Mus musculus: one gene and its partner. The protein of the gene in region 1 purifies or fractionates together with the protein of each later gene. This does not show direct contact. Links are inferred from orthologs where the notes say so. Each region holds a gene or a part of one and is shown on either strand. Other genes may lie near its edges.

The links. Proteins that work in one complex are often made in the same cells at the same time.
Region 2: the proteins of Gatad1 (region 1) and Rbbp4 purify together in Homo sapiens (affinity purification with mass spectrometry; 4 studies listed by BioGRID and IntAct, with this or other methods). This does not show direct contact. The link is inferred for Mus musculus from reciprocal best matches to the Homo sapiens genes GATAD1 and RBBP4.

What each region holds. Positions count from the first base shown.
Region 1 is NC_000071.6:3,644,783-3,649,666, forward strand, and holds the start of Gatad1 (GATA zinc finger domain-containing protein 1), read right to left. Parts: upstream 3,155-4,884; 5' UTR 2,838-3,154; coding exon 2,598-2,837; intron 2,128-2,597; coding exon 2,002-2,127; intron 159-2,001; coding exon 99-158; intron 1-98. UniProt on the Homo sapiens protein: Component of some chromatin complex recruited to chromatin sites methylated 'Lys-4' of histone H3 (H3K4me), with a preference for trimethylated form (H3K4me3).
Region 2 is NC_000070.6:129,332,023-129,336,920, forward strand, and holds the start of Rbbp4 (histone-binding protein RBBP4), read right to left. Parts: upstream 3,349-4,898; 5' UTR 3,212-3,348; coding exon 3,196-3,211; intron 2,623-3,195; coding exon 2,475-2,622; intron 1-2,474. Other genes in the region: Zbtb8os (protein archease), read left to right, coding at 4,021-4,117. UniProt on the Homo sapiens protein: Core histone-binding subunit that may target chromatin assembly factors, chromatin remodeling factors and histone deacetylases to their histone substrates in a manner that is regulated by nucleosomal DNA.

The sequences.
Region 1 (4,884 bases):
AAAACTTCCATAAATCGGCAGTGGTGGTGCATGCCTTTAATCCCAGATCTCTGAGTTCAAGGCCCAGCTGCCCTTTCGAAGTGACTCCAGAGGCTTACCTTGTAGAAGATTGACTCTGCAGTGACTATGGTAGAAACAGATTCAGGCGCTTTGATAGGCTACAAAAAAACAGACGCAAAAACATTTGAGTACCTATATAGTATGTATGGCCATTTTACCATCTACATGAGAACTATCTAATTTGAAAAGAACAAAATACTATTTGGTGACAGAAACTACACAACACACACACACACAGAATGTGAAGCAGGTGAATATTTCCACAATTTTTGCTACCAGTAACTTAAAAGCGCAGAAAAACAAAAGGTGAAGTTTCTGATTATGCTGCTAGGAGCTAACACAACACAAAGCTCTCTAGCACTCCAGTAGACATTAATAGTCCAAGTATAGAAATACAGTGGCTCTAAAAGACTGAGCATGGCCAGATGGAAATTATAAAAAATATACAGATAAATATAATTTTGTTGCAAGCCTGAACTCTTTAGGGTTCTTAGTAATTTGCCACATTGTACCACCATTAAAATCCCTTTTTAGAGCTGCAACACAAAGCTTATCACAACGTAAAAATGGCCTTTCCTGACTTTGTGCCATTCTCCCAAGAATGGATATGCAGAGAAATTGATAATGAAGTAACTGAATAGAACACAGTCTGAACTCGCCACGCAAGCCTAACAGCCTGAGTTGACACTGGGAACCAAGGCTCCTGAAATCTGTCCTCTGATCTGACCTCCACATAATGTACCCGGCATATGCACCAGCACTCTTATGTACACAATTAAAAACACATGTAAAAAGAAATTAAGAGGGAACAATTAGGCCTGGGAGAAGGCTCTGCATTTGAGAGCACTTGCTCTTTCGGAGGACCCAGGTTCAGCCCGCAGCATTCACTGGCAGCTTCTAATTGTCTGTAACTCCAATACCTAGGGAGCCAGTGCCTCTGCTAGCCTCTGAGGGTACCTGGTGCACACATGCAGCAAAACACTCAGACACAAGAAATACAAATAAATCTTTAAACAAGAGTCTACTATCTTTATGACACTTCTCCTGGGCCCGTTTTACAAATGAGTATGCCTACTTTAGAAAGGTGTTTACTGGCAAGTGAGGTATTTTTGTTCCAAAAGTAACAACCAAGCTGAGATAAACAAAAACATCTACAATATCCTTCACTGTCCCAAATGTACAAATAAAACAAAACAAAACAAAAAACCCTTACCACAGCAGGCATTAAACAATCTTCATACATCAGCTTTAGAAAAAGTTTTGCATTCATAATCACCAAACTCATCATGAACCAATAGATATTTTTTTCTGGGTCTATCATAACAAACAAGGTACTGATGAATTATGTTATTTGCCTCGTTCTTTAAAAGACATAAAAAAGTTTTGTTCTTTTTTTTTTTTTTTTTCCTTTCCTTCTGTTTTTCAAGACAGGGTTTCTCTGTGTAGCCATGGCTGTTCTAAAACTCATTTTGTAGATCAGGCTGGCTTCAAACTCAAGAGATCTGCCTGTACCTGCCTTCTGAGTACAGGAATTAAAGGTTAACACCATCACTGCCCAGCAACAAATTTTTCTTAATTAACTATGTATCAAGAGTCATAACTTCATTAAATTGTCAATGAACAAATTTAACCAATTTATAAAAAAAAAACCATAATTTCTCTTTGCATACAGATACACTGTGCTAAATTATAGAACATTCCTCTAGATTCATATTTTATATCTTTCAGATGAGAAAAATAAAAGCTGAAGAAAAAAAAACTGAGAAACTGCTTTTCTAATGTCAAAAACTGCCAATTTCTTCCAGGAGAGCTGTCTTTTGGGAAACCTTGCCTTCCCTCCAGAATACGGCCTAAGTGCACCTGAGAGGTACACCAGCCGTGGGAAGGCCCACCACACCCACAGTGTCCCATTAGGAAGCACAATGTCCACAACCATCTTACATTTTTTAACTTAAAAATATGTCTTCTCCCTTTTCCTTTCGTGGAAACTTTCTTTTCAGCAGCTGGAGCCGATTTGTATTTGGTATTTCTGAGCCGGGCCGACCTTCTGTGAATTTCTTGCTTACTCTGTTACACAATTTAGAGAAAAGGAAATTAAAACTGCAGAAGAAAAGCCAATACAATAACCTCACAAAGATCAGAGGATAATACACTTTGTTAAAAGAAATTAAAAACAAAAAACTTAAAAGACCGAGGGCTGAGATGTTAAACTCTGTAGGGCCTCCCAAGAGATGGCGCTGCTTTCAAGCGGGAAGAGGACAGAAGTGGGGGGAGGACAAGGCAGGAACTATTTATTATTCGTTTGCTGAACTGATCTATTTTACGCCCCCCCCCAAGTTTCCTGCATATCTCAGAACAGAATTCTAATGCTGACATTTTTAGCGACCTACTAATTTATTAACGTGACAAGGACTTGATGGGCAAGAGGTCCTCGACCTACAAGCAAATGGCCTCGTCCGGCTGCCCCGGTGCGTCCCGCACCGCCCGGTCTACGGCAGGAAGCCCTTCTCCCGAGGAGGGAGAGGCCGAGGGCTCACCTGCTTGCCGCCGCCGCCCCCGTTGCTCTGCGAAGGACCGGCCGAGGTGGTGGCGAAGGTGGTGGTGCCGAAGCCACCGCCGCCGCCGCCACCGCCCCCGGTCCCGCCCGCCACTCCCGCGCCGCCGCCGCCCCGGCCCGTGCAGTGATGGCAGAGGATCTCGCCCTGTGGACTCTTCTTCCACATGGAGGACGACGTAGTCTTGCACATGCTGCAGGTGGGCTTCAGGCCCAGCGGCATGCTGGCCGGCTCGGGCGGCCCCCGCGGGCGCAGCGACACGGGAATGGCGGCCGTCTGCACGGGCCGCCCAGGGGTCGGCCGGCCACCTCGGCGACTGGAAGAGCAAGGTCGGAGGTGCTGGGCCGCCCGCGCCGGGACCCAGCGGCCACCGCTGACCCCTGGAGGCGGGAAGCGGGCTCCCGCAGCCCGGGACCCAGCCCTGGAGCTGGGCCGCCCGCGGGGCACGCAGGCCCGATACTCGGCGCGGCCTCCCGGGAAAGCCAGCTCCGCCCTAGGGGACGCTATCCGGGGCGGCCGCCGCCGCCGCCGGGGTCCCCAGGGCGACCACGACCCTGCCTCCGCCCACCGGGGCTTCCGGCGATGGGCGGAGCTCCCGGGGCGGGGCGGGGCGGGGCCGAGTGAACCAGTGTGCCTGACCTAGGCTTTGGGGCTCCGGAAACCCCGCCTACTGGCCGGAAGTGGCCCTGCCAGACTTACCATTGCCTGTCACTCTTCTGAGTTTACAACTGGCTGGGGGGGGGGGGGGCTGGGGGGGGGGAATGGATGTAAAATTTCCCGTTAAAAGTGAATTTCAAATGACTAGTGAGAGTGGCCCATGTAATAGTAGTTATATGATACTCATACTTATCCTGTGTTTTCATTTGATAAATGTAGCCTTATTGATCAAGACCCTTTTAAAAGTCTTAATTAATTAATTTGACTTTGGAGGCTAGGGAGGTGACCTGATGGTAAAGTTCTTCTGGCACAAGCTTATGGCCTGAGTTTGACCCCCAGTACTCACGTAAAAAGCTAGGTGTGTTAGGGCTGGAAAGACAGCTAAGACTAGATCCAGTATTAGCACCTACACTGTGAAACTTAATTTAACATTCTTGCTTGGCATACTACTTAACATTAGAATAAAGTGCTCTCGAGCCCCCTCCCCCCCAAAAAAAGAATTGAGGGTCTAAGAAATTCATATAATAAGAACATTCAGACAGAAAACAGCAGAAACACCAGTGTGGACTGGATGAGATTAATTTATTAGTCAATGATTTATTTTACCTGGGTCAATGTAACAGTGCTGTGCACTGAATACTGAACGTGAGGGGTTTATGAGTTAGTTGGGTTAGAAATGAGCAATGTGCAGAAGAATTCCTATCAATTATTTCTCATGAGTTATACTATAATTAAAACGTTACAGTTTTGTATTACACAGTTGGGTTCAGAGCTGGGATATTTGTATCTTATATGGCTTCACATCACTTATTTGCATAAAGAACAAGCAATACATTATACCTTCCTAACGTTTAAAATAAAGTATATTAGCATAAAGGCTCCCAAAGAAGATTCCTGGAGACTGCATTGAACACTGCTTTAACTAGGGGTGATTGCTGGAAGAATTTATCGTTTTCTGTGAACTTTGGTTCGAGGAACTGGACACATTTCAACCTGGATTTAAATCACTGCAAAACTAGTAGTTCTCTGGGAGGACCATTAGCAAAGCAGATACAATACACTTTCACCTGGAAAGGAGATGTGTATTATTTGAGAGAATTAAGCCTGAACATTGGCTATGTTCGTTGAAGTCTAAAGCTCCCAGGGAAACTAGCCCAAGGAATGAAGGAATTCCTAAGTACTGGTTACAGGTAAATAAATATTTCTTTAATTGAACAACTGTATGCTCAGTGGAGTTTTATCTATATGTGGCATGTGTATACATGATCATATGTGCCTGTATATGTGTCTAAGGACACATGCGCGTGTGTGTGCAGATAAGCACATGTGTGGAGGCTAGAGGTTGGACATTAGGGGTCTCCCTCAATCACTTTCTACCTTTTTTTTTTTTAAACAGTTTTTTTCCTGAACTTGCAGCTTACCAATTAACCTAGACTGGTTTAACCAGCAAGCCCCAGAAACCCCCCGTCCAAGTTCCCCAGGTCCTAACGTCCATGTGTGACCTTTTACATAGATGCTGGGAACTCAGACCCCCAAGCACATTACAGACTCAACTATCTCCCTGGCCACGTTTTAACTTCTTTGAAACAGGATCTTACTCCATCCCATGCTG
Region 2 (4,898 bases), on another chromosome or scaffold:
GCCATAGCTTAATAACATTTGTGTTCTCCTGTAAAAATTAATCTCCATGGTAAAGCAGAGCTTCTGAAAGCATGGCCCTAGACCAACAGTACCAGGACCACTGGATAAGTGGAAGGAGTGCGAGTTCTCAGTTCTATCATCAGAAGCCCGGAGGGCAGGAGATACACCGTTACAGCACCTGCAGCTCACTATGTTGTACATTACAACTTGAAACCCTTCGTCTAGATGGGAAAGATGCTATACCAGCAGGATTAATGAAAGCTTACAATTGTTGCCAAAGGGATTAAATAAGCTACCAAGGAAATGCCAAAAGCCAACTACTTTAAGCATATCAAGGAAGAGAAGCCAGTACAACATTCTAGATAGAGATTGTACTTTTAAGTGCCCAAGAAACAGGAACTTCAATTTGGGTCCCCCTGGTCTACAGAGTGACTTCCAGGACAGCCAGGACTATAAAGAGAAACCTTGTCTCCAAGAAAAAACAGAAACAAAAAACCCCCCAAAAATAGCCTGTCTCCCTGCCCCCCAACACAGTTTTTAAAAAAGTGTGGGAGAAGGAGGGGGACCCTATAATGAACTATCATGTAATAGCTAAAATTTGAGACTCGCTGTTCCAACACACACATTTTGGAGAGGACAGAGTTGTATTATGTAACCCAGGCTGGCCATTATGCCTAGTGCTAGAATACAGACCTGTACCACCATACAAGTTTTTTTCTTATGGTCTGTCATAGGCTAGCCTTCACCTCCTGATCTTCCTGCTCTGCCTCTTAAGTGCTGGGATTACAGGTATGTAGCACCACAGACCCTCTCAACACAAATTGTTTAACAACCACTGAGAACAGATAGAGATAACTCTACTAAGCTTGAACTCCCAACTAGTTTTTTAATCTAATAAATTCCCAATTCCACAGGCAAGAGAGATAGTTCAGCAGCAAGAACACTGACTGTTCTTTCAGAAATTGTTTCCCAACACTTCTATGGCAGCTCCCAACAGTGTAACTCCAGTTTCAGAGTGTTCCAGCCCTCTTCTGACCTCTGCAGGCATTGTACTCACACGCTACAGACAAACATGCAGGAAAAACAAAGACTCCTATGTATGAAAAAAAAAAGTCCAACTCCAAACTTCTGGGTGCCTGCATGGATTTGCTCAACACCCTTCAGATAAAGGTCTCCATCTCTCTCTACACTGCTGCAAAGGTAGCAGCCTCATTCTTTTTTTTTTTTAAGAGTTATTTGTTATTAAATCTTAAGTACACTGTAGCTGTCTTCAGACAGACCAGAGAGGGTGTCAGATCTCATTACAGATGGTTGTGAGCCACCATGTGGTTGCTGGGATTTGAACTCAGGACCTTTGGAAGATCAGCCAGTGCTCTTAACCGCTGAGCCACCTCTCCAGCCCAGCAGCCTCATTCTTAAGTTACTAGTAAAATGCACATGAACTTTCCATGACAGTAGAGATGTATTGCAGATGGTACTGCCTTCCTTACCATGCACAAGGTTCAATTCCTAGCCCTCAAACCAAAACAACTCTTTACTCCAAATTTCTATTACCTGCTGAACCCCATCAGCCTCATAATTGAATTCTGCACGTATCTTAACTCTTGAGTTTCCAAAGAATTCAGTACATTTTTGCCAAATTTACATTAGTAATTACCCACATCCACCATCTTTGGATTGCCACTTGTTTCAGCAGGCCAGTCTGGTAGTTCATGCTGACAGACTTTCCCCTTCATTTTGTGTATGCAATTCGCTGTAGGGTCCCAGCCCCCCCCCCTTTCTGTGCTGAGGATCAAAGTCCCCATCAGTAGGTCTCAATCACTAAACATTACAACCCTTCTGCCCCACCTCCCACCAAGCTCTAAAACCTCACACTACTGCTGAAAACACTCGCCCCCACTTCAGTTAGGCAGACCCCAGATTTATCTTGCTATTTATTAACCTTATAAATGACTTGAGAAATCAAATGTTTTGTTGAATAAACTGGACCCAGAATAACTTTTGAAAACGGTCAAGTTTTATATTACATGGCCAACTCCAGTCTTAAGAATGGCTATTCAACTCCATGCTGAGGGAAAAAACAAAAACAGGGCTGGAGAGCTGGCTCAGCGGCTAAGAGCATTGACTGCTCTTCCCAAGGTCCTGAGTTCAAATCCCAGCAACCACATGGTGGCTCACAACAATCTGTAATGGGACCCAATGCCCTCTTCTGGCTTCAGTGTATTCATACAAATAGAGATGACTTAAAAAAAAAAAGTAAAAGAAAAAGAAAAAAAAAAATCAAACAACAACACAACAACAGAGCATGTTTTCTTTGCAGGGTAAATTACAAAATGATCTTCTGTTTTTGACATTATTTCTAGTCGAGGAAAATAAATAGTACTCATAAGCTCTGATAATGTCCCCCCTGAGTGACTGGAGGGCAAAAAAATTAAAATATATGAACTATCAAAAATATTCAAGATTCGCGTCACCTGGTCACATCTGGAAGCCACTGGGCAGTTAAGCTGGGCCACTCCAGGGCATGGGTCATCACCAAATCATAAAGAAAAGGGGTGTTCTTCTTCCATATTTTGTACTCCTCGTTGATCACCCGTTCTTCCACTGCGTCGTCAAAGGCCGCTAAAATGTTTTTAAAAGACAAATCAAGTTAGCGAACGTAAACGGAAAGGGCACAAACCTCTCCAAGCCACCGGCGTAGCGCCCGGATTTTGACAACGAAATGGAGATTCATCTTAATCTCCCAGGTCGCGGGCACCAACGCCACTCTCGGCCGCGGCGGGCCGGAAGTCCTGGGGCCACCCCAGCCGGACACTCCGTTACTCCTTCGGGGGCCGATGGTGTCCAACCCCGAACGAAGCACGGTGGCGCGCGCCAAGTCCGCCAAACCCGGGGAGGAGACCTGCGCATCGAGCCTGGGGATGGAGAGCGGCGCCCCGAGTCTCGGCAGGCAGAGGGACCGGCAGGGAGCCTCGTAGTCGCCTAGGCCGGAGACCTGGCGTCGCCTCGCATCCGCTCCGGAGGAGCTGCTGCGCCGTTAGCCCGCCCCGCCGGGGAGCTCAGTCCTCAGGCCGGCGTCGCTGGGACGAGGCTCGCCAGAGTCGGGCCTGCTCTCCGTCTCAGGCCGCGTAACAGGCCACGACACAGCCCTACAAGCCAGCACCGTCCCTTCCGAGCCGGCCTCGGCACACTCACCTTCCTTGTCAGCCATGGCGGCAGGAGAGCCGGGAGGGGTTGGGGGATCCCGGGGTCGTGCGTTGCAGGAGGGGCGGGGAGGCTACGAGCGCTCCACTCCGCGCGCGCGGCCTCTATTGTTTCCTGCGGCCCGTGCGTAGGGGGCCGGCTCGCGTGCCTTCGCGCCAACACCGACCAATGAGAAAGCGCGGGTCTGAGGGGTGGGCGGAGCATCCGCCTCGCGGCCTATGGAGACGCTCGAGAGTCGTTTTCTCCAGAGTCCCGAGGCGCGCGCGCTCCGCCCCTTCTCTCTCCCCCACCCCCCACCACAGTCCGGAGACTTCCACGGATTGCGCGCGCGCCCCGCCTGCCGGGATGAGGCCCGTGCAGATCACGTGACATACACCCTACACGCTCATGCGCAGCCATCTTCTTAGCAGGCCGTTATGCTGACAACTCCCTCAGGGTAGCGAAAGAATTTGGAAGTGTTTCCGGGTCTGGTTAGCAACTCGGAGGGCCAGACGAGGAGAAAACGCATCACCGTTTAGACTTACAGGTGCCTAATTCAAGGTGGCGTCTTTTAACTGACTCCCTCGGTACTAATAGTGATGAGTGCAGGAAATAAGATGCTGGTCTCTAAAACATGTTATAAAAGCGGCAGGACCGAGCCTGGCAGCCCGGCAGCCCGGCAGCCGCAAGCGGGTATATCCTTCCGCGAGCTTGCAGAATGGAGTCCTGGTCCTTTTAGACCCGCTGCCAAGGGGGTGGGGTGTAGAGCGGAAGTTATGGCGCGGGGCCGAAGTCTGGCTGATGAAGGGCGGAAGTAAGAGTACCAACTCCGCAATCATGGCTCAAGAGGAGGAAGATGTTAGAGATTACAATTTGACGGAGGAACAGAAGGCGACCAAGGACAAGTATCCTCCAGTCAATCGAAAATATGAATGTGAGTAGGTGGCCCACATCTCTTGCATTCGGACAACCTGCGGCTTCCTGCTTCGCCCACTTCTTTGCCCTAAAGGTGCTCTGGCGTGATCACAGTGTGCCCCTCTTTGGACCCAATTTAGGGGGAAAGTGAAGAAAAAGATCACCTTACTAGAGAATGAAGAAACCCGAGGCCGTATCCCCTGCCCCCATCCATTCTAAAAGTCCATGTGTGCCTGAATCACACTTACCTTTGGGGATAGAGTTAAATGGTGTGGCGCTGGTCCAACATTTATCATTGTAAATTATACTTGTGCATTAGTTGTATTTTTAAGTGATTTCTGGGTTGTCCTCGAGTTTCTCCCAGTAGGGAATAGTGTGACCAGGTTAGAGTAATCAAGACATACCTTTTTCTGTGCGTGCGTGCGTGCGTACGTGTGTGTCCACAGCCCAAGATTGGATCTTATTACGTACTGCAACTTTTGCATCACGTTAAATTTTTTTGAAAGATAAAAATTTAGCCGGGGGCTGGTGAGATGACTCAGTGGGTAAGAGCACCCGACTGCTCTTCCGAAGGTCAGGAGTTCAAATCCCAGCAACCACATGGTGGCTCACAACAAGATCTGACTCCCTCTTCTGGAGTGTCTGAGGACAGCTACAGTGTATTTACATATAATAAATAAATAAATATTTAAAAAAAAAATTTAGCCGGGTAGTGGTGGCGCACGCCTTTAATCCCAGCACTTGGGAGGCAGAGGCAGGCGGATTTCTAAGTTCGAGGCCAGCCTGGTCTGCATAGTGAG